2 linked regions of the Nothobranchius furzeri genome follow. The protein of the gene in region 1 binds, or shares a complex with, the protein of each later gene. Links are inferred from orthologs where the notes say so. Each region holds a gene or a part of one and is shown in the gene's direction. Other genes may lie near its edges. The genes, in order: ciao1 and ciao2a.

Evidence for each region.
Region 2: ciao1 (region 1) and ciao2a share a complex: the UniProt entries of both Homo sapiens proteins name them as parts of the CIA complex. The link is inferred for Nothobranchius furzeri from reciprocal best matches to the Homo sapiens genes CIAO1 and CIAO2A.

The regions. Positions count from the first base shown.
Region 1 is NC_091757.1:37,101,112-37,118,737, reverse strand, and holds ciao1 (probable cytosolic iron-sulfur protein assembly protein ciao1), read left to right. Parts: upstream 1-8,363; 5' UTR 8,364-8,600; coding exon 8,601-8,739; intron 8,740-8,866; coding exon 8,867-9,015; intron 9,016-9,099; coding exon 9,100-9,211; intron 9,212-9,288; coding exon 9,289-9,377; intron 9,378-9,453; coding exon 9,454-9,649; intron 9,650-9,729; coding exon 9,730-9,799; intron 9,800-9,868; coding exon 9,869-10,100; 3' UTR 10,101-10,300; downstream 10,301-17,626. Other genes in the region: gatd3l (ES1 protein, mitochondrial), read right to left, coding at 762-896, 988-1,153, 4,312-4,404, 4,495-4,626, 4,731-4,844, 4,928-4,980, 5,056-5,172; tmem127 (transmembrane protein 127), read right to left, coding at 6,756-7,066, 7,140-7,304, 7,401-7,638; snrnp200 (U5 small nuclear ribonucleoprotein 200 kDa helicase), read right to left, coding at 10,734-10,883, 10,965-11,057, 11,142-11,223, 11,341-11,501, 11,574-11,750, 11,846-11,989, 13,016-13,137, 13,226-13,390 and 16 more. UniProt on the Homo sapiens protein: Key component of the cytosolic iron-sulfur protein assembly (CIA) complex, a multiprotein complex that mediates the incorporation of iron-sulfur cluster into extramitochondrial Fe/S proteins.
Region 2 is NC_091744.1:55,346,342-55,358,059, forward strand, and holds the end of ciao2a (cytosolic iron-sulfur assembly component 2A), read left to right. Parts: intron 1-224; coding exon 225-389; intron 390-1,632; coding exon 1,633-1,682; intron 1,683-2,475; coding exon 2,476-2,521; intron 2,522-7,980; coding exon 7,981-8,081; 3' UTR 8,082-8,494; downstream 8,495-11,718. Other genes in the region: pdcd2l (programmed cell death protein 2-like), read left to right, coding at 10,254-10,704, 11,128-11,718. UniProt on the Homo sapiens protein: Component of the cytosolic iron-sulfur protein assembly (CIA) complex, a multiprotein complex that mediates the incorporation of iron-sulfur cluster into extramitochondrial Fe/S proteins.

The DNA.
Region 1 (17,626 bases):
AACCAGCAGACTGAGAGACAGCTTTTTCCATCAGGCCATCAGACTGCTGAACATGGCGCAGACACCTCACCCTCACTACTGAAACTCCAACATTACACACTCCATACTGTACATTAATGCCACTGTTTTGCACATACCAGCCTCTGTACATTTTATATCTCTTATCTTATTGTTTACTTTATTCATTTGTATACTTAGATTAGCCATTTTTATATTTTATTTGTTGTTACATTACTGTATTTTTGCACAACTCTGTTGCTGTGAAGCTCGCACACAAGAATTTCACTCGCATGCACTGTACCAGTGTACCTGCACATGTGACGTGACAATAAAAGTGATTTGATTTGATTTGATAAACGCTAGAAACCAACCTTATAAACTCCAGTTGATTTATTACTTTACCTCAGACTTCTACAGGATGGACATACATTGTGAAATAAACAGTATTCATTTGATTTTGATTGACTTCTCAATATTCTGTTTTATTTGGATTAAACTGAACAAAACTTAATAGTAAATGTCTGCAAATGAAAAATACTGAATTGTGTCATGCTCATCTTGAAAAATTGTTTGAAAGTGGATGAAAGATGTCTAAAAACACCCAAATTATTGTCTGTCCTCCAATAAACCGCGAATAAAACACAAGTCATGTGCTCTTTACTAAAGCTTTTCTATTATTCAGGTAATATTTCATCACAGTACAGCAGTGAATACTGGAAGTTGCCAGCATTCATCATTTCTTCTCCAGGGGTAACGCCTCCTCACTTGGTTGACAGACGCAGGATGTGTTTGACCATATTTCCAATCCCATCAAATATATAGTGGTAGTGATAGTCTGTTTCCCACATGAAGGATGGAGTGCTGACCACTTTGTTCTTCTCGTCCACATAGGCTTCGTGAACGGAGGAGTTAAGGCCCAAAGCAGATGTTAAATCAGGTCAGTTTTTAACTCACATCTGTCAGAAACAGAGGCCTCTGAAAGGATATGTATGGCTCACGGACATTGTGGCGAGCGCCCATGCTCTTCACGGTCTGCACCATGTTTGTGTGAGGCCAGTTGCCCCAGCGGGTGTTCTCATCACGTTCGTAGCCCATGGTCACCTCAATGCTGGGCAGAGCACGGCAGGCCAGCACAGGAGCCATGCTGGCCAGGCTGAAACAAAGAATTAATAATAAAATCTCTGTTATCTATTTTATTCAAATAAATGATAAACATGGGTCAGAAAACTTAATGAATCCCCATGTTAGGTGCTTGTTGGCCCCTTGAAAGGAATTTCAAAAAACGGACAATGATTGCTGTGTCACTGACAATAAAAAGGCAATGTGATGGTTTGCTAAATTATTTTTAAGTCATTCATTGTATAAATTATTCAGTAATTTAGCAGAAATGAATAATAAATATGAGGCAAACTGAGGAGAAAATCTAGTCAGGAATGGTTAAAGGCAGAGAGGATTGCTGTTCTGTTTTATATTTCATAAATAACAATAAAAACAACTTTTGACAGAAATAACAAGACAACAAGACTTACAGCTGTTCTCATGCTGAATAATGTCCAGATAATGTGTGTATGTCACATTTAACATTTTACTTTTCTCTTATATATTTTATTTTCAGAAAGATCATTAAATAAAATGTATTACCTTGTAATAAATATTTCTGTATATTACTTTTGTTTTGTTCACAAACTCTATCTTCCATAGAAAGAGGCCAGCAGAGGCCAGCATACTCTTTAAACCTCTGTTGTCAAGGTAACTGCCCCTCCCCTCCTCCTCACCATCCTGCTCCAGTTTTCCTGTAATCCCAAATCACCTTCTACCTGGAATATTCTACTCTTCACCTTTCACTGTCGGCAAAGTGTCTGTTTGAATCTGCCTGAAGCTCTTGTTCCATCTCTTTAACTCCAAATTCAATAACACAATGTCTGATCTCAAGGCCACATACTGTAAAATAAAAATAAAATAAAATAGAATAAGATTTATTAAATTTAATTTAATAAAATGAAATTAAATTAAAACAGAAAACATTTTAAGAATAAAGAAGGGGTCATCTTCAGGTAAATCCAGAACATTAAAGGTAAAATATTGATAAAAAAAACTTGTGGAGACAAGCTGCTCATTGAGGATTTGTACTTGGGGAAAACATTTCACTGCGCTGCTCCACGGGTTGATTTCTAACTTTAAACTCTGAATATTTGCACCGTTTTTAAATTTACTCACAATGATCATCTCATTTTAACAAAACACTTCTACAAAGGTGCATTCAAAAGCAGCCAGACTCCTTTTTGATAAAACGAAGAAAATAAATAAATAAATAAAAGAAAACAAAACTGAGACAATGGTTCTTGGTGGCTCCACTGAGACCCCCAACATAGAAGTTGGTTCTCTGGCCCGGTACATTACGCCAACCCGTACTAACCGTGGGGTCATACTGGATGCTGGACCAAAGTTAGACAACCACATTAGATCAGTTGTTAAGTCTAGCTTTTTTCATTTAAGAAAGCTGGCAAAAGTAAAGCCCATCCAGTCCCAGAAGCATTTTGAAACAGTAATCCACGCCTTCATCCCGACTCAGCTGGACTACTGTAATGGTCTGTATGCTGGAATAAGTGCACCAGTATCTCTTAGCTTTGGAGAGTACAAAATGCTGCTGCTCGCCTCTTAACAGGCACAAGGAAGTAACATCTCCCCTGTTATGGCCTGTTTGCACTGGCTGCCTGTGCCTTGCCTTACCTGTGTGACCTGCTACACCCATACATCCCCTCTCGTTCCCTCAGGTCAGTGGGTCAGCTGCTCCTGACTGTCCCAAAGACAAAGCGTAAGCCTCGAGAAGATCGTGCCTTTGCTTTAGCAGCTCCTAGATTGTGGAATGAGCTTGCTTTAAATATCAAACAAGCCTCTTCACTGTCAAAACCCACCTCTTCTCTCTGGCCTTTGACACTACCTGAGATGTTGACTTTTAACTAGTTTTAGATCATTTTTACTATTATTTAAATGCATTTTACTTTGATTCAACCAAATTGTAGTCTGCTCAGCTTATTGTGTTAACTCTTTGGTTGTTTTATTACTCTACGTTCTAGGGTTTTATTGTTGACTGTTGTTTTTATTTGTTCTGTCTACAGCGCTTTGGTCCTGCGGGTGTTTCAAGTGCTATACAAATAAAGTTGGTATGGTAATAAAGAAATAGTTAGAGAATTTCGACACCTTTTTACTGGCGTTGTTCCTACAGGTGAAGGAGTTTGTCATTCTTCTAAATTGTTTCATCACTAACTTTCTCCTTCAAAACGTCAATTGACTCCTCCTCTTTCTTGGCATTAACAGCAAAAGGGATTAATCTTGGGATGTAAGCAAGAAGTCAGCATACACTTTAACCTTCTGTTGTCATGGCGATCCCCTCCTCAGCATCCTGCTCCACTCTTCCCTGTAATTCCTGTAATCCCACACCTCCTTCTACCCGGAATCCTCTATTCTTCACCTTTCACCCTGTGCCCTTTCACCTGACCTTGTCACAGGTCGCCACGGTGACTGCTCATCACCTCATCCATCCGGCTAAGACCAGTCATTTTGTAGCAGATCTCATTAGGTTGGACCGTTTGTGTAGGAGTTTTTGTTTTGCCCAGCCTGCCTTAAAGGATTTGTCTGCTTTCAAGTTGCCCAGGATGAGCTTAAAAGCACTAAAGGCTATTTTTACTACTTCTGTCCTACTTGTTGTCTGCTACGCTCAGAAAGAGCCAATATGAGGAATTTAACCTTGCAGCTTCAAAAAGGCAACAGCTGATCTGACAGTTTATGAAGCTCTTTATAAACAAACAGTATCAGCTGCCAAGCAAAGCCATCTTTAATATCTATTTGGTGGAAGATAAATCAGATTTTCCATGTGTAAACAAAAAGGTGTTGAGATGCTTTAGGTTTTGTTATACTAGAGTAAGCTTCTTTAATTGGCTCAACAAACTTGGGGGGCAGCAGTTGGGCTAATGGTCCTTTTATCTTTCTATTATTTCTTTAAAAATAAATGCTGCATAAAACAACAAGATCTGGCCATTGATTAAATCTACAACATACATGATTTTACTCGTGATTATGATAATATCATTAATCATTTAGTGTGATTTCTCACAGCCTCTCATGGCCTAATTCTATTATGAGGATTAATTAAAGCTTCTGTGTTCACCTGTAGTTAAGGTGTCATCAAAACAAATAAAAATGTCAAGAGCAGACCCGTGTTTGAGTGAAAAAGGTTCATTTCGAGCACATTTTTAGCACTTCTGTTAATCTTAATGCTGATATTTGGTACAATGACCAAATGATACGTACCCAATGGGCTTGCGTGAATGGTGGAAATCTTTAAGAACTCGTTCTACGTCATTGTGCAGCTTACAGTCTTTGCCATCCTTCATAAAAGATGATCTAAAGGTCAGGAATTTTGCAGTTAGTGGCACATTATATGTATATATATAAAATAAACACAATTATTTTTTACATTTGAAAACTCCTCACAGGTTCTTGATGATCCCATGACCTCCAGGAAAGATGACAGCATCAAAGCTGTTGACATCCAGAACGGACAGGTCCTGCATTTGCATCTTTCCCTGACCGTGACTGAAGCGAGCCGACTCCATCATCATGTTCCTGATTACAAATGTGTTAACATGTGATGGGGGTTAGGTCAGGTCATTCGGCTTTACGTGCAAAATGTAATCAACGGTCTCCTCAGCCCAGTGTGAGATTCCTACCGGTTCTCCCCTGAGAACGGCTGCTTTTTCATGTGATCCATCACATGCATCTGCTGCTGATTCGGAGCAAACATCTGGAAACGAGCTCCGTTTCGGCTCAGGTGGTACATGGTGCTGAGGAGAAATTTGTCACCATTTCTGTAAAATTACGCATTTATACAAATGTAAAACAAAATCCCTGATGTCCTGATACTCACTACACTCCTTCATGGACATCAGTTCCATCCCACCATCCACATCCTGAGAAAACCTAGAATACATTGATGCACAAAATCAGAACAGTTCTCCTCTTTTCATGGGTCGTGTAACAAGGAGTCAAACTTACCACTGCAACATTGGTGTTCCCCCAGGTGCCATGGTCACCGTGGTGAACAAAGCAGGCTGGCTGGCGAGAGAGAATTGCCAGTGTCTGTTTTGACAGCAAAGTCCTGGTTGCCAGCATGTCTATGATCAAGTCTCACTTTTTGAGAAGAAAAAGTGTAAGTGAAGAGTTTGCAACCGAGCCTGTGAAGACCTCTGACGGCACAGACATTTACCTCTCTGAGGACATCTGTATAAATACGTGCGGTCAAATGACGCTCCCACATTAGCTCCATTGTCTTTTCACGTCTTGACTTGTTCCCTTCCTGAACACCCTTCCCTATTAATACCTCTTTAATTCTGATTACCTTAAAGCATTTGGCCACAGGGCAAAACTTTAGCCTCAATATCTTAACTCGTTAGGAATTTGGCACTTGATGAGTCGCATTGGTTGGGAAACTGTTCAACACCATTATGCAGGCATAGTAGTATGCCATATGCCCTTTAAAGTCCATTAGGTTGTAAGACTCTTACTCTCTGTAATGCCGTGTTGAGTCTAGACAGTAATCCAGAAATACCTTTGACAGAAAGAAAACTAACATTTATAGTAAAACTGCACATTCCGTTTAGCAGGAGTCAAAATGTAGTTATAGATGAGCAGCAAGAAGCAAAATATGGCATTTATTTTATTATGGCCACTTTATGTAGAAACAATCGCTATTTACACATCAGTGAGGAGAGCACAGTGAGGAACAAAATGTAGAAAATGATAAAACAAAGTGCAATCAACTACAATCATCACACCAGCCACACGTTTAAGCCTCAGGAAGAACCTTGTGATGAGATTCTAGCTGATTATTTTCAAATGTGCATCCACCACAACCCGTAAACAGAAGACATTTACTGAACTTGTCATGTATGGTATTCACAAGGTACAAACAAGGTTTATTTTTAATAAAATACAATAAACATAACACAACCAAATTAGGATGTGAGGTTTGTTGCTGTAGCAGAACACCCTCTCTCTTCACCTGACTCACAACACAGCCAAAGACATTTTTTAAAAACGCCAAAGGCCCGCCTCACATTTTTGGAAATGTCCTTATTGTTTCTAATACAGAGGTGAACAGAGAAGACTATGTTAGTGACTAATGTCTGCAAAGCAAAAGATAGAAGACAGCACACACAATAAATAAGGTCCATTTGCTTTTTTATATAAAATAAACATTTAAAACAATCTTGTCAGTGTACGTGTACATCAGCATTTATGATGTATCAAATTAAAATGCTGTGTTGTTTTAACAAAGCCCCATCATAGCCCTGTAACTGCAACCACTGACAACGTGCTGAAAGTTTGTTTCAACAAAAGCACTGATCAGGCTGTGGCTACCCCCCAATTTCTTCTTATGAGCAGTTTAATACTCTCTGCAGTTAATTTATCTTTACATGTAAGGACCAGATCCTAAAAGCCATTTACATGCAAATCACTAACCACTTCAGTGGGGAAAGTAAGAAATATCTCCTAAACTGCTGTCACCACTAAAGAAAGATTCCATGCACCCAAGCACTGTTATTCAAGGAAGCTGTGCACTAATGTGCACACGCTGTGTTTAATGCCAAGAAAATCTGCAGCAGTATCCGTTTGCTTAAAGAGTGTGGTTTTGCACATCGAGCAAAAAGCTGAGCTGAGAGAGAAATGTGTATGCAAAGGCAAGTCTGGTTGGATTAGGGTGTGTAGGCAGGTGGTGGTTGAAACTGATTAGCAATGTCATAATCAGCAGGGAAATTCTCACTGCTATCCTCCATCTCAGAGAGCAGCTCTAAGGCCTGCTCTTCCTCTTCAGTGGGGTAGTGGCGAAGAAGGTTTGCAGCTGTGGCGAGGATGGATGCTCCACCCGCACCTGCCACCAGGTAGAAGCTGATAGCAAAAGTGACATATATAAGTGAACCGTGGTACTTCTTGTGCTGCTGCTGAAGGGACAAGATCAGCTCTGAGGCCCAGTAGCAAAAGCCTATGACTGTGGCACACTGCAACACTAGAAGGAAAAGGAAGTCTGTTAGCACAGGTAAATATGCAAAATGTTTTGTGTGTAAATGAAAGGTTTGTACCTGTGAGTATATGGGCAAATGCATATCTACGAGTGATCTTTAGGGCAGGGTGTTTCGGTCCAAACACATCTAACAGAAAAGCAGTTAGACTGCATAGGATGCCCAGGAAACAAAAGGCAGCTATGACCCTCAACAGCAGGATGGTCTGCGGGTTCACACAGTAATCTGAGGATACAGAAACGTCAAAACAAACAAAAACCATTACGAGTCAAAACAATGATCGATAATTGCTGGTTGTAAAGTAATTGTGCAGGTTCTCACCATCTAGAAGCTTTGGATCAATGTAACCCAAGACATCCGCAACCCCCAGCTCCTGCCTGGGACAGGCGCCCCCATGAACACGCACCCAGGCCGGCTCAGCCAGAGCCGTACACAGCGCTGTGATGGACAAAGCTCCGGGCAGCGCTGACACCAGGCTGCGCTCCGGCTGCTTGGGCAGGGAGGTGGCAGTTCTTCTTCTCCGGCCACCAGGTACGGTAGAGCCCGGCGGAGCATACATGATTACCAAATCTCTGTTTTTGTAGGAAGTGTTGGTTCCCTTGTCTGTCCTTTTCCTTAAGGTTTATAACTGGGATTAGCCGCCTGACACAGCTGTCAGTCGGTACAGCTGATTTTACCTGTAGTGTTAAAGGATGATAGCGGTCCAGGCGACTTGTTAGATGAAAGATATACAATACTTCCGTACGAGAACCAGCTGCTCGATAAAAAAACAGGATCTGGCTGACGAGGAAACAAAAGACAGATGGCCTTCAGGCCTGTTAGCTGTACTGTTAGCCCGATTAGCTAATTCGCAGTAAACGTCAAATATAATAAATTCTTATGACAGGATTAAAACGAATACAAAAAAAACATATAAACGCCAACCTAGAACCCAATCTTTACAACAACAATAAATAAAAATATATTGTTTTAGTTACAGAAAAACAAACAGAAAACAAAACAAAAGACAGCTTACGCTGGTTTCCTCTAAAGCATTGACTTCCTGTTTCCACCGGGTTTCGTCGTAGCTACAGTAGAACCTGTGATCACTAGCCCCACCTACCGGTTAAAAAAACTACACAACGATGAAAACTTCTCTGCATTTACCATAGACTTTAAATCTTATACATAAATCTCGCTTTTTTTATGAATAATTATATATTTTATTACGACAACTGAATTTGTTTCCGTTTATTTAAAAAAAATATATTTAAGTTTGTTTTTAAAGGAAGACGGAAGCCCACAGTGTGCACTTCCGATAAGCAAAGATGGCGGCACGTCAGTTGTGGATGTTTCTATGAACTTCTTTAATTTGCTCTTTATTGCAAGTTAATTCCTTATCTTCTCAAAATATGTTAATAGTGATAGTGGCTCTGCTGCTTTGATGGGTTTTGTTTGAGTTTCTTATCGGATTTTTCTGGGAAGGAAAAGACAAAAGTGACGAGACCTGTTAACTAAATATTTAATAGTCATTAAGTCAGTATGAAGGAGACTCTCACGCTGCTTCACAGGCTCAGCGCACACCCGGACTCTCGGTGTTGGTTTGTCGCTTGGAGCCCAAACGGGACTCTGCTGGCTTCGTGTGGCGGGGACAAGGCCATCCGGATCTGGGGACGCGAAGGTAGCCTGTCATCTCTTTCTCTCTCTTACACACACACACACACACACACACACACACACTCTGATTATTAGTTATCTGTTGGTAAAATAATTAATCTATTGACCTCGGTGACCCCCTCTATCCGTAGGAGACTCCTGGGTTTGTAAGAGTGTGCTGGAGGATGGACACCAGCGCACCGTGAGGAAAGTGGCCTGGTCTCCATGTGGAAATTATTTGGCCTCTGCCAGCTTTGATGCAACTACATGCATCTGGAAGAAGAATAACGAGGGTTTTGAGGTTAGATGAGACCTCTGTTGTTCAGTGGTGTGATTAAAAAAGCATTTAACCGTGAACTTGACACATTTGTAAATGTCTTTATAGAGTTTGACAGTGTTGGAGGGACATGAAAATGAGGTCAAATGTGTGGCGTGGGCTCCATCAGGGAACCTCCTGGCCACATGCAGTCGAGACAAAAGCGTTTGGATCTGGGAAGGTTTGTGTTTATTTACACATGTAATAAATACAATTTGATCAGATCTGGTTAATAGGTGTTTTCCCTCTGTCCCACAGTGGATGAAGAAGATGAGTATGAGTGTGTCACAGTTCTAAACTCTCACACACAAGATGTTAAGCATGTAGCGTGGCACCCGACCCGAGAGGTAGACTCAGATCTGTAGACATTATCTCCATCTGTAGCTCCATTCTCATTTTTGAGGTTATTGTCTGTTTCCTCAGCTCCTGGCTTCGGCCAGCTACGACAACAACATTTGTATTTACAAGGAAGAAGACGATGACTGGGAATGTCGCGCTACTTTGGAAGGACACACCTCCACCGTCTGGAGTTTGTGCTTTGATGCAACTGGACAGAGGATGGCGTCCTGCAGCGATGATCGCACTGTGAAGATTTGGAAAGAATATCCCTCTGAGAGTGGTCAGTAGTTATGAACAGTAACACCGAAGCCATTTATTTACAAACAAATCCTTTTTTTTACCTGCTCTGTATGTTGAAAGGTGACACGTCCTGGAAGTGTGTTTGCACTCTGTCTGGGTATCATGGACGAACAGTGTATGATGTGTCCTGGTAAGACTGAACTTCTATCAGTGATCTGAATGAATTACCTTCAAACTGACTTAAACACCATTTGTTCAGGTGTCCGCTGACTGGCGCCCTGGCAACTGCCTGCGGTGACGACGCAGTTCGAGTTTTCAGAGAGGACGTGACCTCTAATCCAGAAGAACCTGTATTCTCGCTGGTTGCTCAGGTAACCAAAGCTCACAACCAGGACGTTAACTGTGCTTCCTGGAACCCGAAAGAAGCTGGAATTCTTGCCTCCTGCAGCGACAATGGAGAACTTGCCATTTGGAGGTTCAAAGAAGACTGATTCAGTGACAAATGCACCGAAGTGCTTTTGGTTTTAGATCTCATACTGGGAACTTTATCTTTAAGGCACCACATCTGTTATTTCATGGCTTGATTAATCTCGTTTTAATTTTTGTGATCGGAAAACCGCTGCAGCTCATCTTGTACACTTTTTAAAAATGGCTTAATCAAACATGTTTATGAATAAATACAAAAACACAAGACTGTGTGGTTTCATTTTAATAAAAAGAAAAGAACATGCCAGACAATAGATTCTTAAAAACATGTTTACTAATCTAGGGAAAACCATTTTACATCTGCAATGTAACTTTAGACATAATCTGAAACCAAATTGTTGCATCTTTTATTTTAAAAAGCAAACCTGACAAGAAAAGTACAAAATTATGCTTCCCATATTTAAAGCAGTATTGTCAGTGGATCCAGCTGAATCCAAAACATGCATTTCATTTTTAATACGGAAAACAGATCCTGCACACCAATTTTGGACTGTTTCATCAATCGGGTCACTAAAAAAAACTGACATACTTTGGGCAAAAGTGAGAAGTTTAAATTCAAAGAAACAAATCAGGTTGAATATCTACAACACACCCATTGATTCCCTCTCAAATGGAGACAACACAGTATTCAGTAAAACTTAGTCTGAGTCACTTTCTCCCTCGCTGTCGGCCTCCTTCACATCCACACTGAACTTGTACTCCTGGTCACAACCCATGTACGCATCACTCATGAAGTACAGGGTGTAGTGGTGAACGCCCACTGCAGGTGCAACAAAGTCCAGCTTCACCTGTGGAGGAAGTACAGAAGAAAACAGGAAATGAGGCCTTCTACTGGGAAGGGGAGAACATTTCTGCTGTATTACACCGACCTTTGCTTTCTGCTGAAGAGTCAGCCTCTTGATGGAGATGAGGCTGTTAGACTTGGGGTCTCCAATAACGACCCACCAGCCCTCCTCACGTTTCTGCAACAACAAGAACACGTCACCACGATCCACTTTTACACACCGCTGAAACAAACGGGATCTTTGGTGAATGACGGAACAAACCTGAGGGAAGAGTGGCGCAATAACCGGACCAGTCACCTCCTCCTCTCGCTCCAGCTGCACCTGAACCAGAACTGAACTGCCGCTAAGAAAAACAAGTTCACAATGTTAACCGATGTTAATCGATTAAATTGATCCTCAACCGTAAAACTTAATTATGCTTTCAAAGCTTACATAAATAAATCTGCTGAGAAACACAAACCTTTTGACATTGTCCCTCTCTGCTACTTCATAGGACAGCTCGATGTTGGGGTAACGGTTACAGAAGCGAGCCACATCAGCCATCTGGCTGTCTGACAGCTGCAGCAGACCGGATCTGTCCTCATCCTCCATTTCCATTATGTCAAAGATACTGTCCACACCCTAAAGAGAGCAACAAGGGATGTTTTCATCTACGTTTGCTTCATTCATAACCAAATGTTAATACCAACTAACCTTGTCAGTACAACGCTTGATGTGTTCGGAGGTAAAGTGAGGCAGCTGCTTCAGATACGAGTCCTTGGACCACATGGCCTGGGTGACCATCTGGGCCAGCTCCATAGCGGCTAGAGCGGGACTCAGCCAGCCGTTACTGGACAACACGTCGACGCAGGCCTGAATCAGACGGATCGCCTACAAACAAACGCTCTCGTCACATAAAACACGCTGGGATCAAATACAGAAACGTGGCTGAGTCACAGCAAAACATAGTATTCAGGGATCTGAACCTTGCTGAGGATGTCTTCGGTGTCCGACTGGAGCTCAGCACTCAGCTGCATCCTGGATAGGTGAGCTTGCAGCAAAAGGTTTGTCTTCACATGGGGGTCGTTGAACTTCGGATTGTTCAGTTTGTGGGGCACTTTCTGTGCCAGCTGAAGGAAAAAGCAGCTCAAAGTTAAAGATGTTGCAGCACAAAAGGCACCTACACACTGGGTCAGTACCAGACCGGAATTTGGTTTCACACCTGGGTAGGGCTGGGCCTAACCCAATTTATCGTTATTGAAATTTCTGACAGAATTTTTCCCATATCAATAAATTTGATAATAAAAAAAGAAAAGATGTGTATAGGTTGGCAATGTTAATGTCCCTTTAAGAAGCGGTACCACCTTGAGTCACGTAAATATGTGACTCAACGTAAAACATGTGACAGCCCCATGTAGTGGACAACTTTTGTTTCTGCACATACATGTAGTTATCGTTCATTTATCGTTATCGAGGTGAAATCCTCAATATATTGTGATACTGATTTTAGGTCATACCGCCCAGCCCCACACTTGGGCCACTTATGAGTTTTCTGTTCTGAGGTACCTCTTTTTTTCAGACCTCTTTCTCAAAGGACCGACTGGGACCGAGGTGACACTACGGACTGATTGGCTGACTGAAATGATCATCTACTGCCTCAAGTAGAATCAGCCAGCAGGGGGTTTACGCATGAACATCCTGGATGTTGTTGAGTAAACATCTCAGTCTGTAGCACAGAGCTCCCGGAAGAGAGAGTCGTGTATGTCCTCTGAGCAGCGAACATCTCTGCATGAAGCTCTTGCTACAGCTGCTCAATGGATGGAGAGAGCAGCGAGCGTGTGTGTGTGAGTGGAATTTGAGGACATGCACAGCAGTGAGAGAACAGGGAGCACATTAATAAAAGAATGTGCTTCGGTGTCTCCAAAAGCAACACAGCTCACACCTGCCTTTGCTTATCTTAATAAGAAGGACACCACCAGCGCATTTTAAACGCCGCCCACGTGCTCGGGGATTTCTGCATTCTCGAGAACTCCTTCGGGAACACTACACTGCCCGTATGAGACCCAACTGACGCTATCCTCCCACAACCGTACTGACCCTAAAGTGTAAGCGGCAAAAGACGCTACTCTAACGTGGACTTGTGTCGGTGTGTTTACCTGTCGGAGGAGCATGTCCTCGTGGTGCCTGATGGGAATGTTCTTATATTCAGCTGCGTTAGAGATGATTTCAATTAATCCTCGACTCTTGGTCTTGGCATTCAGGGACATGCTGAATAACTCTGTTGAACAACAACAAAAACTTTGCTGTGAAGTCTGAGGTCCAGGAAGCAACATAAACCCCATAGAGAGGTGAGTGTAGCTACAAACCAATGGTGGTGTAGTTTATGTAGTAATAAGCTGCGATCATGCCCAGATTGAGGGGTGCAACATCCATCTCGTCCTCGATGCTGATGCACTTGGACTGCTCCAGGTCATGTAACGTGTTCTCCACCAGCTCAGACAGGTGGTCAGACAGGTGGCGATGGGACATGCCTGCCACAGAACATAAGACTCAACAAGAAACCCCTAAGCCTGGTCTGGTCAAGTGTGATGTGGTCTCTGCCTTAAAGGATGCTAACCCTGCAGGTTGTAGTAGTTGGGGTTCTGCGTCATACGGCGGTAGAGGAACGTCCACGTCAGGTAGTCCACGGCGTCCTGCTTGTTCTCCACCGTCTTGGTGACGATCTCAGCGTTAAAGTGGTCATGAAGACAGTGATCCAAGTGAGACTCCACTGGCAGGGGCTCGTACAGGAACTTCTTGAAGAAGTCCTACAACAAAAACAGATAACCTGTTTAGTTCAAGTATTTTTACAGTAATTGCTTTTAAAACAAAACCAACGCATGTTCGCACCTTCTTGGAGCCCTGACACATGATGACACAGCGTCCCTCATCATCCAGCATGGGTCTGTTTGCCTTTCCCACCATCTGGAGAACATCATATATGGGATAGTCCACATATCTGAGAGAAATGAGAGAACGTGTCATCAAAACAGCACATTAAATTCATTATTGTAGACATTTTTTCAAGTCAACTTAAATCCTTACGCATGGATTTTTCCATTGTAGTATTGGGTATCCATGACGATGACGAGGTGTGCAGAAACGCTGATGCCCCAGCAGAGCGAACGTGAAGACACCACCACCTGAATGGCACCTGTACAAGAAAGAAACCCCTTTTCTGGTTTGTTTCTCAGCTCTGAGCGACCCAGGTGTAAAATAAAATTCATACCCGAGTTGAAAAGCTGCTCCACGATTTTGCATTCAGTTGCAGAGAGGCCCTCATGCAGGTATCCCACGCCGTTGGCCAGAGTCTCTTTAAGAGTCCCGTCGTTTATCTTCTCAAGGAACGGAGTCAAGTCTTTTTCGTTACAATGCAAAAACCTGATAAGACCAAGAATTTTTCAGAACACCAAGTAGAATAATCTCAAGATCAAAGACTGATGAGCTGTGACCGTACAGTCTATGGCTGTGACTGACCTCTGAGGAACAACATCAGCAGCACAGAAAGTGAGGATGTCGATGGCGGTGAGGCGGGTCTGCCTGCGGGACGGGACAAACACCAGCACTGGCTTGGAGGGAGAGTGCCTCATGATGGCGTGGTACACCGGTTTGGCCATGGACAGCAGGCGAGTCTGAGTGTGGCTGACGTTGAAACCCTGCAGCAACAAGGCGACAGGAAGTCAGGAATCTGGAAGGTGTTTAAATAGTTCTTTCCAATGGTAAAATTTGTGCAAAAGCTTTTCAGACCTGGATGTGCAGCTCAAGAGGAACAGGTCTGACATTGGGGTGGAAGTTGAACGTAGCTGTGGTGCTGCAACCCAGCCAGTGGGCCACATCTTTAGCATTGGACAAAGACGAGCTTAGGGCCACGATGCGGATTGGACGCTCGATTTGAGAAGAGATGTATCTCATCCTGGAGCAGATGACCTCCAACACAGGCTGATGAAATAAACAAAACTCCGTCAACATGCTTCACTAAACACAGAAACAGCTAAAAATCAGCTGAGCAGGATGAGATACTTACTCCGTTTTCTCCTCCGATGAGGTGGGTTTCATCCACAATGAAAAGGCTGACATTCTGCACATTCTTTCTCTGTTTCCAGCGACGAGACAGGATGTCCCACTTATCAGGAGTGCTGACAATAATGTCCCCCTTCCCCAGGAGCTTCAGATCTGTGCTGGTCTCTCCGGTCAGCAGAACTACCTTTTTGTTCAGAATGTCCTGGAACTTCTGGTGCCAGTCCACGAACACCTGGGAGACGAGGATCATGGTATTGGATAGGAACATTTCCTGTGTTGTATCTGACATAAATGTGAAAACAATGCTAGTTTTGATGCACAGACTCCTTACCTGCTCAGCCAGCGCTTCCATTGGGGTGATGTAAACACAGCGACCTTCTGCGCTGTGCAGTAGCATTCTCAAGATAGCAAATTCTGCACAGATGGTCTTTCCACTGCCAGTCGGAGCTCCCACAAAGACATTATCATCACTGTTGTACAAAGCATTGAAGACTGCAAGAAAAAGAGAAGTATGAGTGAAGCAGAGTGCACTGATCAGAAATGCCAGCGTATAAGGAGTCTTTGTACCTTGTGTCTGAATGGGGTTGAAGAAGGGGAACTTGTTTTGATAAAGAGCCTCAAAAGCTGAATTCCTGAGAGCGGTGACAGGCAGTGGCTGCAGATCCAGCAGCTCAGTGGGTGGGGGGTACTTCTCTGGTAGGATAAGATGGCGGAAGGATACAGGAAGCTGAGTCTCACAGGCTGAGGGAAAAAACAGAAGAACGGTTTTATAAAAAGCACAAACATCAGGAAAGTCCTGCAAGATGCTGGAATTAAAAGTTACTTACAGAGCCATCGGTCTGAAACCACACGGATAAAGTACTGAGGAGGCAGAGGCTCAAACACCGGCACAAAAAACGTCACCAGGTGCTCGTCCTGCGCGTACTTGGCTTTGAGGAGGAAGTACTCGTGGTGGAGGATGACCTCACTGTCCACGTCCTCAACCAGGATCCAGAAAGCTTCAGAAGATCCGTGAATCTAAGTAGGACATTTTAAAAATAAGAACAAACAAGAACCTAGATCAGAGTCGAGTCATGTGCATTAAGTTTACTGACCTTATCATCCCACTGGAAGTCTGGCGTGACAGTGAGCTCCACTTTGAGCGTGGAGCGAGTGATGGGCTGAATATGCACAGCCAGGTCCAGTTTGGGGAACTGGTGGACGTATTTGTGAATGGTCTTTCCCATTTTTGGCATTCGGATCAGCTCACCTGAACAATGAGGAACATGACGAGGTTATGAAAGGATAAGCAAAAGTCGTGAAAAGGAAAAAAAAAAAAAAAAAAAACCTCACCAATCTCATTGTGGTTGAGATCATAGAGCCGCTCAAACGGGAAGTTTTTCTTCTCAATCTTCTTCACGACCTCCTCTGGGAGCTTCTTGAACTGCCGCAGAGGAGACATGGACTGCCACCTGCAGAGCACAGACTCAAATCTGTGAGATGTTGACCTCACTACAACAAACATGTTTATGTAGGAGTAAAAACACACATACATCCTCTTGTCAATCATCTTGCAGAGGTTCATGGTCTTGTCTGTGAGCTGAGCCCAGCCGCGGTTTAGCACAATCTCAAATATGGCTCTCATTAGCCGCCCGGCACTCTGAAAGAACAAAAAAAAAAATGCTATAAAATAAAGAAAATTATTTTATGTACAAGGACACACAAAAATAAATGACTAGTAATGCTTTGTTGAGTGTCATTTTTAAACATTAAACTAAAGAAAACAAGTTTAAAGCAGCATCTGAGCACGCGGAAGCTGGTCTTTCTGTACCTGAGTAACATAAACCATGTCCGCCATGAGAGCAAAGCCTTCCAGTTTGAGCTGAGAGATGTACGCCTGGAGCAGAACGTTAATCTGAAACAAAAATAGTTTAAGAAACTCATTCTCTGGGATTAGAAAATGCACAAATACATTTATTTATTCTGTGTCAGGTTAGTGTGTTACCTTAGCGCTAGGCTCCTCGATGCTCTCCTTCACAGGAATAGGAACTCTTTCCAGAAGTTTCTGAAGTTCCAGTTTTTCCTCCTAATAGAAAAAGTTTACTATTAAAACACTGAATTGAAAAAAGAAACTTCATGTGTATGAAACGGCTACGACATACCTCTCTTACTGTGATGTTCCTGAACTCTGAGGAAAGTGAAAAGACCCGGAAAAGTTCAATCTCGCTGAGAGTCGGCTTCAGCAGCTGGTTGTAGGTCTGAATGGAATCGTGAGTGATGTAGAAGTGGCTGGCGATGCGTCCCAGGTCTGTAACCTTTGTGGCAGCAGACACACACAAACATAACTAACTCACCAGCACCAGAACCACAAGCAGGGGCCGCATCAACAGGTTATTTTACTTTCACCATTTTTCTTTTAAACGGTGATGAAAAAAACCTGAAATCCACTCGTCAGATTACAAATCAGGTGAGGTGGAGAAAAAAAGATGGCGAGTTCAGTGGTGTCACTCACAAACGCTGACACGGAGAAGTGACGTAATAAAAGAGAAATCCATCAGAAAATCTTTAGCTCTTTTTAAAAGACAAATCTGCATAATACCAACGGTGTGTCTTATAAACGCGCCACGCCGGCATGGCGATGTGCAAATTTTGCAGCATTCCTTCTGCCTCGCTTGGTAGTAATATTGCGGTAATTGTCTGACTTCTGAACAGCGATTGCACCTTGGTGC
Region 2 (11,718 bases), on another chromosome or scaffold:
TGACATTGAGAAACACCCCATGTTTGGGTAGAGCCCTTATTATTCTCCCCTCGTGTCTGTCCTTTCCAGTCTGTGTGTTTTGGAGCATTAAGATCTTGATTAATTTGGTATTTAGCTGTGGAAATAAACAACCACCATCAGTGCAACCCTCATACTCATCCAGCATCTAGGAATTCTTATAGTACATATTGATGAACAGATTTTATCATGTTGAACTCTGTTAGATGTCATTCGAACAATCAGAGACCCAGAGAAGCCCAACACCCTGGAGGAGTTGGAGGTTGTGACGGAACAATGTGTGGAGGTCCAGGAACTTGGAGACGATGAGTTCCTCATTATAATCCGGTTCTCTCCAACCGTCCCTCACTGCTCTTTGGCTACACTCATTGGTGAGTCCCTCTGCTGTCAACCTGTCGCAGACATCCCAGTCAAACACTAAAAATATAATTCTCTAAAGTCTAAACAGTTAGAGAAAAGAAAAAGTAGAATTGTTGAGTTCAAGTTTCCTGACTTGTTGATAAAGACCTGGCGGTTGATCCATGGCTCCTGGGGATCGGCAGGGCTTAACTTGAAAATTCCAGTTCATGACATCCTGTCATGTTTCAGGCAGAATTAAAGCAGCTGCTGTGAGTTGGAGCAAAGTTGGAGTTGGGTTAAAATAAACTCTGAAGTTTTTTTTTTATTTTAAACTTTTTGGATGAGATGGGATAAATAAATAACAAGTACAGAAAATAGCTAAAAGTCCACAGTCCCATCATTTCTTTCAGGGATTCATCGCATACATAAACAAGTAGGGAGTTGGTTAACAAGCTATAAGATCAACCGTATAACTGATCATTTAAAGACCAAGGTCACTCATTTTTTAACACATGCATTGGTCTCTATTGTAGATTAATTGATCTCTGTCGTGAGTTGACCTCTGTGGGTAAAATGCTCTGGCGTTCCTGTTTCAGGAGCTAGAATTTAGCCACAGCAGAGTTAACATTCAGATGACAGGATCTGGAGGCTTTTCCCTGATATTCAGACATCTTGCTTCTGATTGGCTAGCAGCAACACAACTCTACCACTGACTCTGTTCTGCATTGATGGTTTATCTCCACAAATAACACAAGCCTGAAGAAGTTCTGCCATGTTGTGATGTTGCTAAGGCTAACAGTTAACTTCCACTAGCCAAGACATGCTCTGCTCTCTCCTGGATGGTAAACCAACAACAACCTTCCTAGTCATGAGTAGGGTTGGGCATCATTTCAATTTGAACGATTCCGGTTTCGATTCCAATTCCTTGTTCCAGTTCCGGTTCCATTCAATTCCTAATTCAGATTCTTTCAAGAGGCAGAATCCAAAACGTCAGGGGTGTGGGGGATCAGCTGCTGCCTTTCCTACCCTGATGCAGGACTTCAGGACTGAGTTTGAAGCTATTGCTTCTGTGACAGGACCTAGGTTGACTTTAATTTCAGACCCTGGTTGTTGAGTTTTAAATGAGACCTGTTTGTGGTCCATCAGTCAGTTCTAACTGGTAAATGTGAATTATTCACTCTGTTTTTTGTTGAACTCTTCACCTCTGTCTCCCATGTAGAGCTACAGCAGGCTGATTCTGTCCGGGACTGATGCTCTTTTTTCATGGTTTTGCAGGTTTGTGCTTACAAGTGAAGCTCCAGCGATGCTTGCCATTTAAACACAAGGTAAGCATCAGCGTGACTAGGACTGAGTCAAAGCAGCCAAGTACCAACAGCCCCCTGGTCGGCCAGCCGTGTTATTTTACACTTTGATTATGGAGGGTCGTCTCCTTTTAAAAAGGCAGAAGAGGGACGTAGTCTTTGTTTACAATCTGTACTGCCTCCATACATCCTGGTTCTTGAGCCAATCATATGCGAGTCTGTGGGTTCTCCAGTTCTGTGTCGACATATGTAATTTGAAACCAGCCAGCAAAAAGCAGCAGCAGCATCGTGGAAAGTTTTTTAACCAATAAAAGGAGTGACCCAGAAGTCGTTGCTTGTACCCCTAAGAAGCCACGGCATCCTTTTGTTTTACTCTAATATCGAGGAAAGAAGGCTGTAGGCTAACATTGAGCCAACAGTGAATTAGGAAAAAAGTGGTCGGCTCTAAACAACAACGCGAGCTAATTTTTCAGTTACCAACAACTAAATATTTCTTACTGTGATTCGTCATCTATAATCTTCTATTTCTGATCAGTAACTGGCTGTGGTTGCTAAGAGTGGACTCGTTTGTTTTGAAACATGAACTTGCTCCTTTCTGGAGCCAGCCCCAGTGGATGAAGGGGGAACTGCAATTTCTTTCATTTCCGTGTTGGCGTTACTTTTGGCAGGCGGCGTGTGCCCCTTGACCCATGCACAGGAACAAAAGTAAACGATTGGGTGTATTTCCAGTCATTTTTGGTTGTAATTTGACTTTTCAAAAACGACTGTAATAATGATCTTGTATTCACTTATGAGTTGGTATTCTTTCTCTTTTTAGTTGGAAATTTACATTTCAGAAGGAACCCATTCTACAGAGGAAGATAGTAAGTTTTTGTCTTTTATTACAGTAGTGGGGGTTTGTTCTGTACTGCATAATAACAAAACCTATTGTTTCATTGTTGTTGATGAGGGCTGGGCAATAAATCGAAAATGTATCGTTATCAAAATTTCTGACTCTTATTGAGATAATTTTTTCCATGTCAATAAATTTGATAATAGTAAATGAAAAGCTGTGTGTAGGTTGGCAACATTTATGTCCCTTTAAGAAGCTGTACCACATTGAGTCACGTAAAAATGTGACTCATCGTAATCATCGTAAACATGTGACAGCCCCATCTAGCGGACAACTTTTGTTTCTGCGCAAACCTGTAGTTATCTTCCGTTTATCGTTATTTAGGTGAAATCCTTAATATATGGTGATATTGATTTTAGGCCATATCGCCCAGCCTTTATATATATGTGTGTGTGTGTGTGTATATATATATATATATATATATATATATATATATATATATATATATATATATATGTATGTACATATACATACGTATTTATATATGTAGATATGTATACATGGATATGTGTATATATATATATATATATATATATATATATATATATATATATATATATATATATATATATATATATATATATAATGTATATAATGTATATATATATATATAATGTATATATATATATAATGTATATGCATATATATATATATATATATATATATATATATATATGTATGTATGTATGTATGTATGTATACCGTAAATCCTCTAATACAGGCCGGTATTCAATTAAAGGCCGGGTCTCCAATTTTGGCTGGTGCCGGAGTCAGCGGAGGTGATTAATGGCCGGTCTCTTATTGTGGCCGGGTGGAATGTGGTAACAAGCAAATATGAGTGTCTCAGCGGCAGGGTTATAGTCCCCAAATCAACCAGTAGGAGGCAGTAGAGGTTCACACAGACCTTTATTAGGCTTTTTCTTCAACGCTTTTTAATGCTACAGACACGATCCTCTATCACGCTCCTACCACACAGAGTCACGGTGTCAGTTAACCATGCTAATTCAACCCACTCCACAGAACACACATCACCTTCCCTGTGGCTTACATAACACTCACACAACACGCAAATCAGCACATAGGAACTAGCAGAATGATAGGAAACACATATAACACAATACCCAGAATGCACCTGGCTTACAACCCCAGCCAGGTCATTACACTATCAAGTTCAAAGAGAACATGCTGATTATGCTGCAGAACACTCTGGGGAGCAGTAGCAGGGGTTGTATGAACTAGTCGACTTCACTATAGTGACTTTTTATGCCTGTCGTCGACTAGTCGCTGTCACGTGATAATGACCGGCAAGATGCAGCCCTCGGAAAAGACAGCAGCCTGCTATCAGCAGGTGACCAGCTCCTGCGCTCAGGGGGGCAACGCACTGTGTCAGAGCATAGGTACTGACACGCGATCGTTCATGTCGGTTCATTTCCTTTAATGTTTTCTGTCTTTTATTTGCGCCTGATGTGTTTCGCTGCTGTGGAGCGGGGCACATCACCTTGTCCTCCGACTCACAGATCACTGATGCGGCCGCCAAGCAGGGAGAGCTCCGCTGTTTTCGCGGTCGGTAGATCTGCCTCCTGAGCACGGCCACAATCAGGTGTCGCCACCTCAAAAACTAATTTAACACGCGATCGTTCATGTCAGTTCATTTCCTTTAATGTTTTCTGTCTTTTATTTGCGCCTGATGAGTTTTGCTGCATGCTGTGGAGCGGGGCGCTGCGCGCATCACCTTGTCCTCCGACGCAAATTCCACTACCTCCGCTCCGCTCCGACACAAACGCCGGAGCAAAATCGGTCCCGTTGTAGTCAATCAGAGCAATTCCACTACTGCGGCCGTGCTCCGGCAGTGCGGCGCCGTGCGCCGCCCTCTGTTCCGGCGTCCGGCAAAAATAGAATCGATCCTATTTTCGCCGGAGCACCTCCGCAGTCAATGGACAGAAATCACAACTGCCCAACAGGAAAAGGAGCAAGCACAACTTCCTTTTTTCACAATAAATCGATAAACAAAAGGCGTTTTTTGTTTCATATGCACAGGTTTAACAACTTTTAACAACTATCAATGGCGGCTGAACTTTAAATGCACAAAAATAAGCCATAAATACAGTTTCTACTGTCAAAGTAGTTGCCCTTTGTTGATCCAAACTCTGCTGATCTCTCAACACAAATGATGGGCAGATTAAACAGTTCATTATATGCTTCTCCCACACAACGGGTGTTTGGATCTAACTTCCGCGTTTATTGCTCGGACTGTATGATACGGCCGCCAAACAGGGAGCGCTCCACTGTTTTTGCGGTCGGTAGCTCTTTTAGAACTGCAGTTCAAAGGTAACTCATGAGGTGAATATATATGAACCCAGGTAGCAGTTTCTCTTTAGGATTGAGAGGAGATGCAGGAAGATAATAAACAGGCAGGACAGAAAAATAGTCAAATAAAAACAAGTTAGTTTTTGTACCTGGTGGTTGCAACAAACAGACACCATTGAAGGTAATCAGAAGTGAGGAACAGAAAACGAAATAATTATTTTAATGTTTAGAGCAGCAGGAACTCTGAGAGGCTGCAGGCGCATCAGTGAGTTTGCAGCCGCTGCGCAGGGGGAGGGGGGAGGGGGCTGAAGCAGGAACTACCGTTGTTAAAAGAAATGTGTTTAACTTTGAAAATGTGGGCGCAATTTTAATTGTCTAAAACTCCAGTGAACCATTAGTTCACTTTGCTCAAATAGAAATAGAGGCCTGCCTCTAATACTGGCCCTCCTTCCAATAAAGGCCTGGAGCTTGATGAGCTTGAGTCAAATACAGGCCCGGGCCTGTATTAGAGGATTTACGGTATATGTATATACATATACGGTATGCTTGAGTCAAATACAGGCCCGGGCCTGTATTAGAGGATTTACGGTATATGTATATACATATACGGTGAATATGTGTATATATATATGTATATGTATGTATATATGTATATATGTATATACATATATATACACATATTCATATATATATATATATATATATATATATATACATATATATATATATATATATATATATATATATATATATACATATATATATATATCACGATAAGAGTCGTCTCAAGGCACTTCACATAATAAGCATTCCAATTCAGGTCAGTTCTTTAAGCCTATGAGAAATAATGTTTCGTATATAAGGAACCCAGCAAATTGCATCAAGTCACTGACTAGTGTCAGTGACTATACAGCAATCCTCATACTAAGCAAACATAAAGCGACAGTGGAGAGGAAAACTATATATATACATGTATATATATATATATATATATATATATATATATATATATATATATATATATATATATATATATATATATATATATATATACAGTTGTGGTCAGAAGTTTACATACACTTGTAAAAAATATAATATAATGGCTCTACTGAGTGTCCCGTTATTTCTAAAACTGATTTTTCTCTGATGGAGTGATTGGAACAGATACTTCTTTGTCACAAAAAACATTCATGATGTTTGGTTCTTTAATGTCTTTATTATGGGTTAACAGAGAAAAGTGATCACATTTGCTGGGTCACAAATATACATACAGCAACATGAACTAGCAATTTTGGTGACAGAAACGTGTCAGTGAACTGAGCTTCATAGCATGGCCTCTTAACTTCTTGTGAGTGATTATGAGTGACTACAGCTGGTGACTTCTCTTAGGCCAGGTAAATAGGGCTCATTGGATACAAACGCCCACAAACGCTACAATGGGAAATTCAAAGGAGCTCAGCATGGATCTGAAAAAGCGAATTATTGACTTGAACAAGTCAGGAAAGTCACTTGGGGCCATTTCAAAGCAGCTGCAGGTCCCAAGAGCAACAGTGCAAACAATTGTTTGTAAGTATAAGGTGCATGGCACTGTTTCATCACTGCCAAGATCAGGAAGAAAACGCAAGCTATCACCTGCTGCTGAGAGAAAATTGGTCAGGAGGGTAAAGAGTGAACCAAGAATCACCAAAAAGCAGATCTGCCAAGAATTAGAAGCTGCTGGAACACAGGTGTCATTGTCCACAGTCAAACGTGTTTTGCATCTCCATGGACTGAGAGGCTGCCGTGCAAGAAGGAAGCCCTTGCTCCAAAAGCGGCACCTTAAGGCTCGACTGAAGTTTGCTGCTGATCACATGGACAAAGGTAAGACCTTCTGGAGGAAAGTTCTGTGGTCAGACGAAACAAAAATCGAGCTTTTTGGCCACAATGCCCAGCAATATGTTTGGAGGAGAAAAGGTGAGGCCTTTAACCCCAAGAACACAATGCCTACAGTCAAGCATGGTGGTGGGAATATTATGCTGTGGGGCTGTTTTGCTGCCAATGGAACTGGTGCTTTACAGAGAGTAAATGGGATAATGAAGAAGGAGGATTACCATCACATTCTTCAACATAACCTAAAATCATCAGCACGAAGGTTGGGTCTTGGGCGCAGTTGGGTGTTCCAACAGGACAATGACCCCAAACACACATCAAAAGTGGTAAAGGAATGGCTAAATCAGGCTAGAATAAGGGTTTTAGAATGGCCTTCCCAAAGTCCTGACTTAAACCCCATTGAAAACATGTGGACAGTGCTGAAGAAACAAGTCCATGTCAGAAAGCCATCAAATTTAACTGAACTTCACCAATTCTGTCAAGAGGAGTGGTCAAAGATTCAACCAGAAGCTTGCCAGAAGCTTGTGGATGGCTACCAAAAGCGCCTAATTGAAGTGAAAATGGCTAAGAGACATGTAACCAAATATTAGCACTGCTGTATGTATATTTGTGACCCAGCAAATGTGATCACTTTTCTCTGTTAACCCATAATAAAGACATTAAAGAACCAAACTTCATGAATGTTTTTTGTGACAAAGAAGTATCTGTTCCAATCACTCTATCAGAGAAAAATCAGAGTTTTAGAAATAACGGGACACTCAGTAGAGCCATTATATTATATTTTTTACAAGTGTATGTAAACTTCTGACCACAACTGTATGTATATGTGTATATATATATGTATATACATATACATACATATTTATATATGTAGATATGTATATATATATATACATATATATAAATGTATATACATATACACACATATATATATAAATGTACATATAAATGTACATATATATGTAGATATGTATATATATATATATATTATATGTTATATATAAAACAAAACAATAAATTCATGACTCCGCATTGGTTTCAAACACATGTATTAGAGTTTTGCTGCTACCACCACTTCCCCTCTCAGGCTGCCCCACAGCCACGCCCCCTCCCGCCTTGCTGGCTCCTTGAAAACAACTTTGTTTTTTAACTCTGCTAGCCCAGCTGATTCAGCAGTTTGTTTGTGTTACTGATTTTTTGGTGCTTTTTCACTAGTCTCATGTTCTGAGTGGTGAAAATGATTAATTTCTCCAGTTAATAAACAGATCAACGATAAGGAGCGGGTGGCAGCCGCCATGGAAAACCCCAACCTGAGAGAGATTGTGGAGCAGTGTGTCACTGAACCTGATGACTGAAGGGCCCAATGCTACATCAATAACTTTTTTAAGTGCGTGTGCATGAGTGAACACATGGAGGAGGTTGGATGCTGGAATCAAGTCCAGCCTTTAAAGACAGCAGCACCAGTTGTTGCTGGTGAACAGCCTGGTGTTCCAGAAGAAGGTGAATAAAGGAAGAAGAGAACACACCTCCTGCTCTACTTTTATCTCTCAACTTTCTCTCCATCATTCCTGCTGTTCACCATTCATGTTTAATCAGAACAGAATAAAAATGGCTGTTTTTCATTGCATTGACTCCTATTAGATCTTTTGTAATTCCTCAGGTGATTACCTCTAATTTGATTTCAGAGTCTGGATGTTTAGGATGGGGTTTTATAAACAGAAATGAAATGCAAATAAACTCAGAATAAAATAATCAGGTTTGAATATAATCCTGTCTCCTGTGTATTTGAATCAGAGTAAGTGTTTCAGCAGTGCTTCCTACAGATAAAACGTTATTTTGCACACATCTTAGGTTTATTTATTAAGCACTTTTAAGTGCTTCTCAGACAAGAACAATAAAACTGATACAATGATCTTAGAAATAACTATCTCACACACACCCATTAACATCACTCTTAACCATATAAAACAATATAACATTAATGTCAACATATATTTTCTCTGAGTGCACACACAAACACTGATTATACCTCCACAGTAATATTTCATACAGGTCACACGAGCTGTAATGAGCTTTTAACTATCAAGTACAAAATGATACCAGCCAGGTTTTAGTTTGTGTACCACTCTTCAAAAAGCTGATTTGGATTGGCTGCATGTGTCACTGTAGCATCACTTGATCTCTACATTTATGGGATGCAGTGTGTTGATGGATAAAATAATGGGCAGATGAGATGTGTGTCCCATCTCATACAGACCCCAAATAAAAGAAGGTGGTATGAGACTGACTCCAGCGGCTCAGAGTACATGTGTGATTATGCACAAAATGTCATACCATCTTTTAAAATAGCAGGGCTGGATTTTGAGTTTGCCAATATTGGTGTCCCCCTCTTTTTGCCCCTAAAGTGATTTTGCAGGTATGAATCTCACACCGGTTGTTCAAAGTGCATATTTGATTATGTTCAGAATAGGGATGCACAATATATCTGCATCAATATCGGTATTGGCGGATGTTAAGTCATTTTTTAACTTATTGGTATCAGTCTGATAAGTAAAACTGGGCCGATATTAACAACTAATATTTTTTCCATCTAGTTTCAGTTTGTGTATCTGTTTCAGAGGATGAGGGGGGTGCTGATGTGTTATTGTTTATTCATGTGACAGAGATGGTAATCATCTCAGAAACATATGACAAACACACACACAATCTAGTTTGCACTTTATAGAAATAAAGCAAGACATTAAAAAATTCAGTTTGCATAATTTTCAGTCAACAAAATCTGCTGATTTCACAAGCATAAATGTCAGTGTGTGTATGTATATACATATCGGTATCAGCAACTAGTGGTTATGGACCATAACAGCGATATTGTTATCGGCCCAAACATTCCTTATCGGTGCGTCCCTATTTTATAATATACATCATCCACAGACTTCTCCCCTAACATAGGTGGCATTTTGAGTTTGCCAAACTGGCATCTTAACTAGATGACGTGTATTTTTATAACTTATTTAATATCACACTGTGTAGTATTTGTTGGTTGTCAATAATAACACATGCTCAAATGACAGGAGCCCAGAAATATTGCAAATTTTAATAAATAAATAAATAAATATACGGATCAATTATTTTCCATGGGGCCCAAACTCCCTAGCAGCGCCCTTGCATCTGGGTCAGGTCCTGCTTGTAAATGAGAACGTGATCTCAAACATTACCCAGTAAAATAAAAGCTCCCCGCCCCAGGTCATATGAGCTCATATCCACAATACCCTCGTGATCTTTTCCAGTTTTCAGTTGGTTTATCCGGACTTCACTTCGGCATATCTAGGTTATTTATTTCTATACAAACCAGGAAGAGGATGGTCACCGTTTGCGCATGTGCAATGCGACCCACACGGACGTATAGCGCACGCTGGGTAGAGAGGCCACGATGCTTTTACAGTCTGTGGTAATCCCGGGACCTAAACGTGAACCGTAAACCTCCGGTGCTGACGGAATCACTGAACCCGGATAGTTCGGTAACAGAGATGGCCTGCAGCGCCCAGGACTCCACTCTAATCGGTCTGTGTGATGGACAGTTGGACCCGAAGAGACACCGGTCCTCATTTCTGACGAACAAAGTTGGCGGAGAACCGGACTGGCCTCCGGTCTTCTCCCGGTTGTCCCCCCGCTGTGGTCTCTGCGGTGGCCTTTCTGTCCACGTGGTGCAAGTATACTGCCCCCTGCAGGCCTCTCCGTACCATAGAACCCTGCACCTGTTCGCCTGTCCCCGCCCGGACTGCAGCGGGCGGTCTGAGTCCTGGACGGCGCTCCGGTCTCAGAGTCTGGAGGCTCCCGGCCGGCCGGGGCCACTTCCAGCGCCCGCTCCGCTGGTGTCAGACTGGTGCGAGTCCGCTGATGACTGGGGAATGGAGGATGGTTTTGATGGGTGGGGAGGAGGACCGGACCGGATTCAAGATCCGCAAGAGCTGGGAGGAGGTAGTGTTTGTTTGTTGGTGTGTGTGTGTGTGTTGAGGAGGTAGTTTTTTTTAGTTGAAAACGGTAATGTTAGAACCGATAACGACCCTTTAGGGTTGGGTTGGCTCGAGCCAGCACCTCTGACAACATGTAGAAGTGTTTGTTTATTTATTTGGCAGACGCTTTTATCCAAAGCGACTTACAATTTATAACCTATAGGGCATGTTGTGATCTGTGGGGGAAACCGGAGTACCCGGAGGAAACCCACACATGCATGGGGAGAACACGCAACTCCAGGCAGAAAGGCCGCAGCCGAGCCCAGTATCGAACCTGCGAGGCAACAGTGCTAACCACTGTGTCACCATGCAGCCATAGAAGTGGTCAGAACCATGTCCATCTGAAAGGTCTGGGTATGCCTAATGTTCTTGGTTCTTCTACCTCCAGAGGTGCCTCCAGTCTGTGATGCTGACGTCAGCCAGCAACTTCAGCACCTCTGCTTGTCAGAATCAGGAGACCCACCTGTCTTCTGTCCGTTCTTCATTAATGTGGTGGAGGAGTCCGACCTGTATGGAGAAGATGAGGAGCTGGAGCATGCTCAGGAGCTGCTCAGAGACTATGAGAGGAGGGAGAAGATGGAGGTGGGGATGCTGGAGGAGAGCAGCTGCAGCATTGAGAAGTACGAGAAGACCGACGCCAAACATGGAGACGCAGCGTTCTCCAGGTTTATGAAGACCATCTCTCTTTGCCCACAGCAGATCCTGCGATACTGTCGAGGTGGAAAACCCGTATTTATCTCCAAGCCACCATCCAGCATGGCTCAGCTGCTGTCTGCATGCAGCTCCTGTGGAGGATCCAGAACCTTTGAGCTGCAGCTGATGCCAGCTCTTGTCCATTACCTGCAGAGGAAGGACAGGAGCTCAGAAGCAGAGCTGGAGTTTGGAACTGTGTTGGTGTATACCTGCAGCACCAGCTGTTGGACTTCAGGGTCAGAATCTGCTGTAGAGGAGTTCTGCTTTGTTCAAACAGACCCAGACC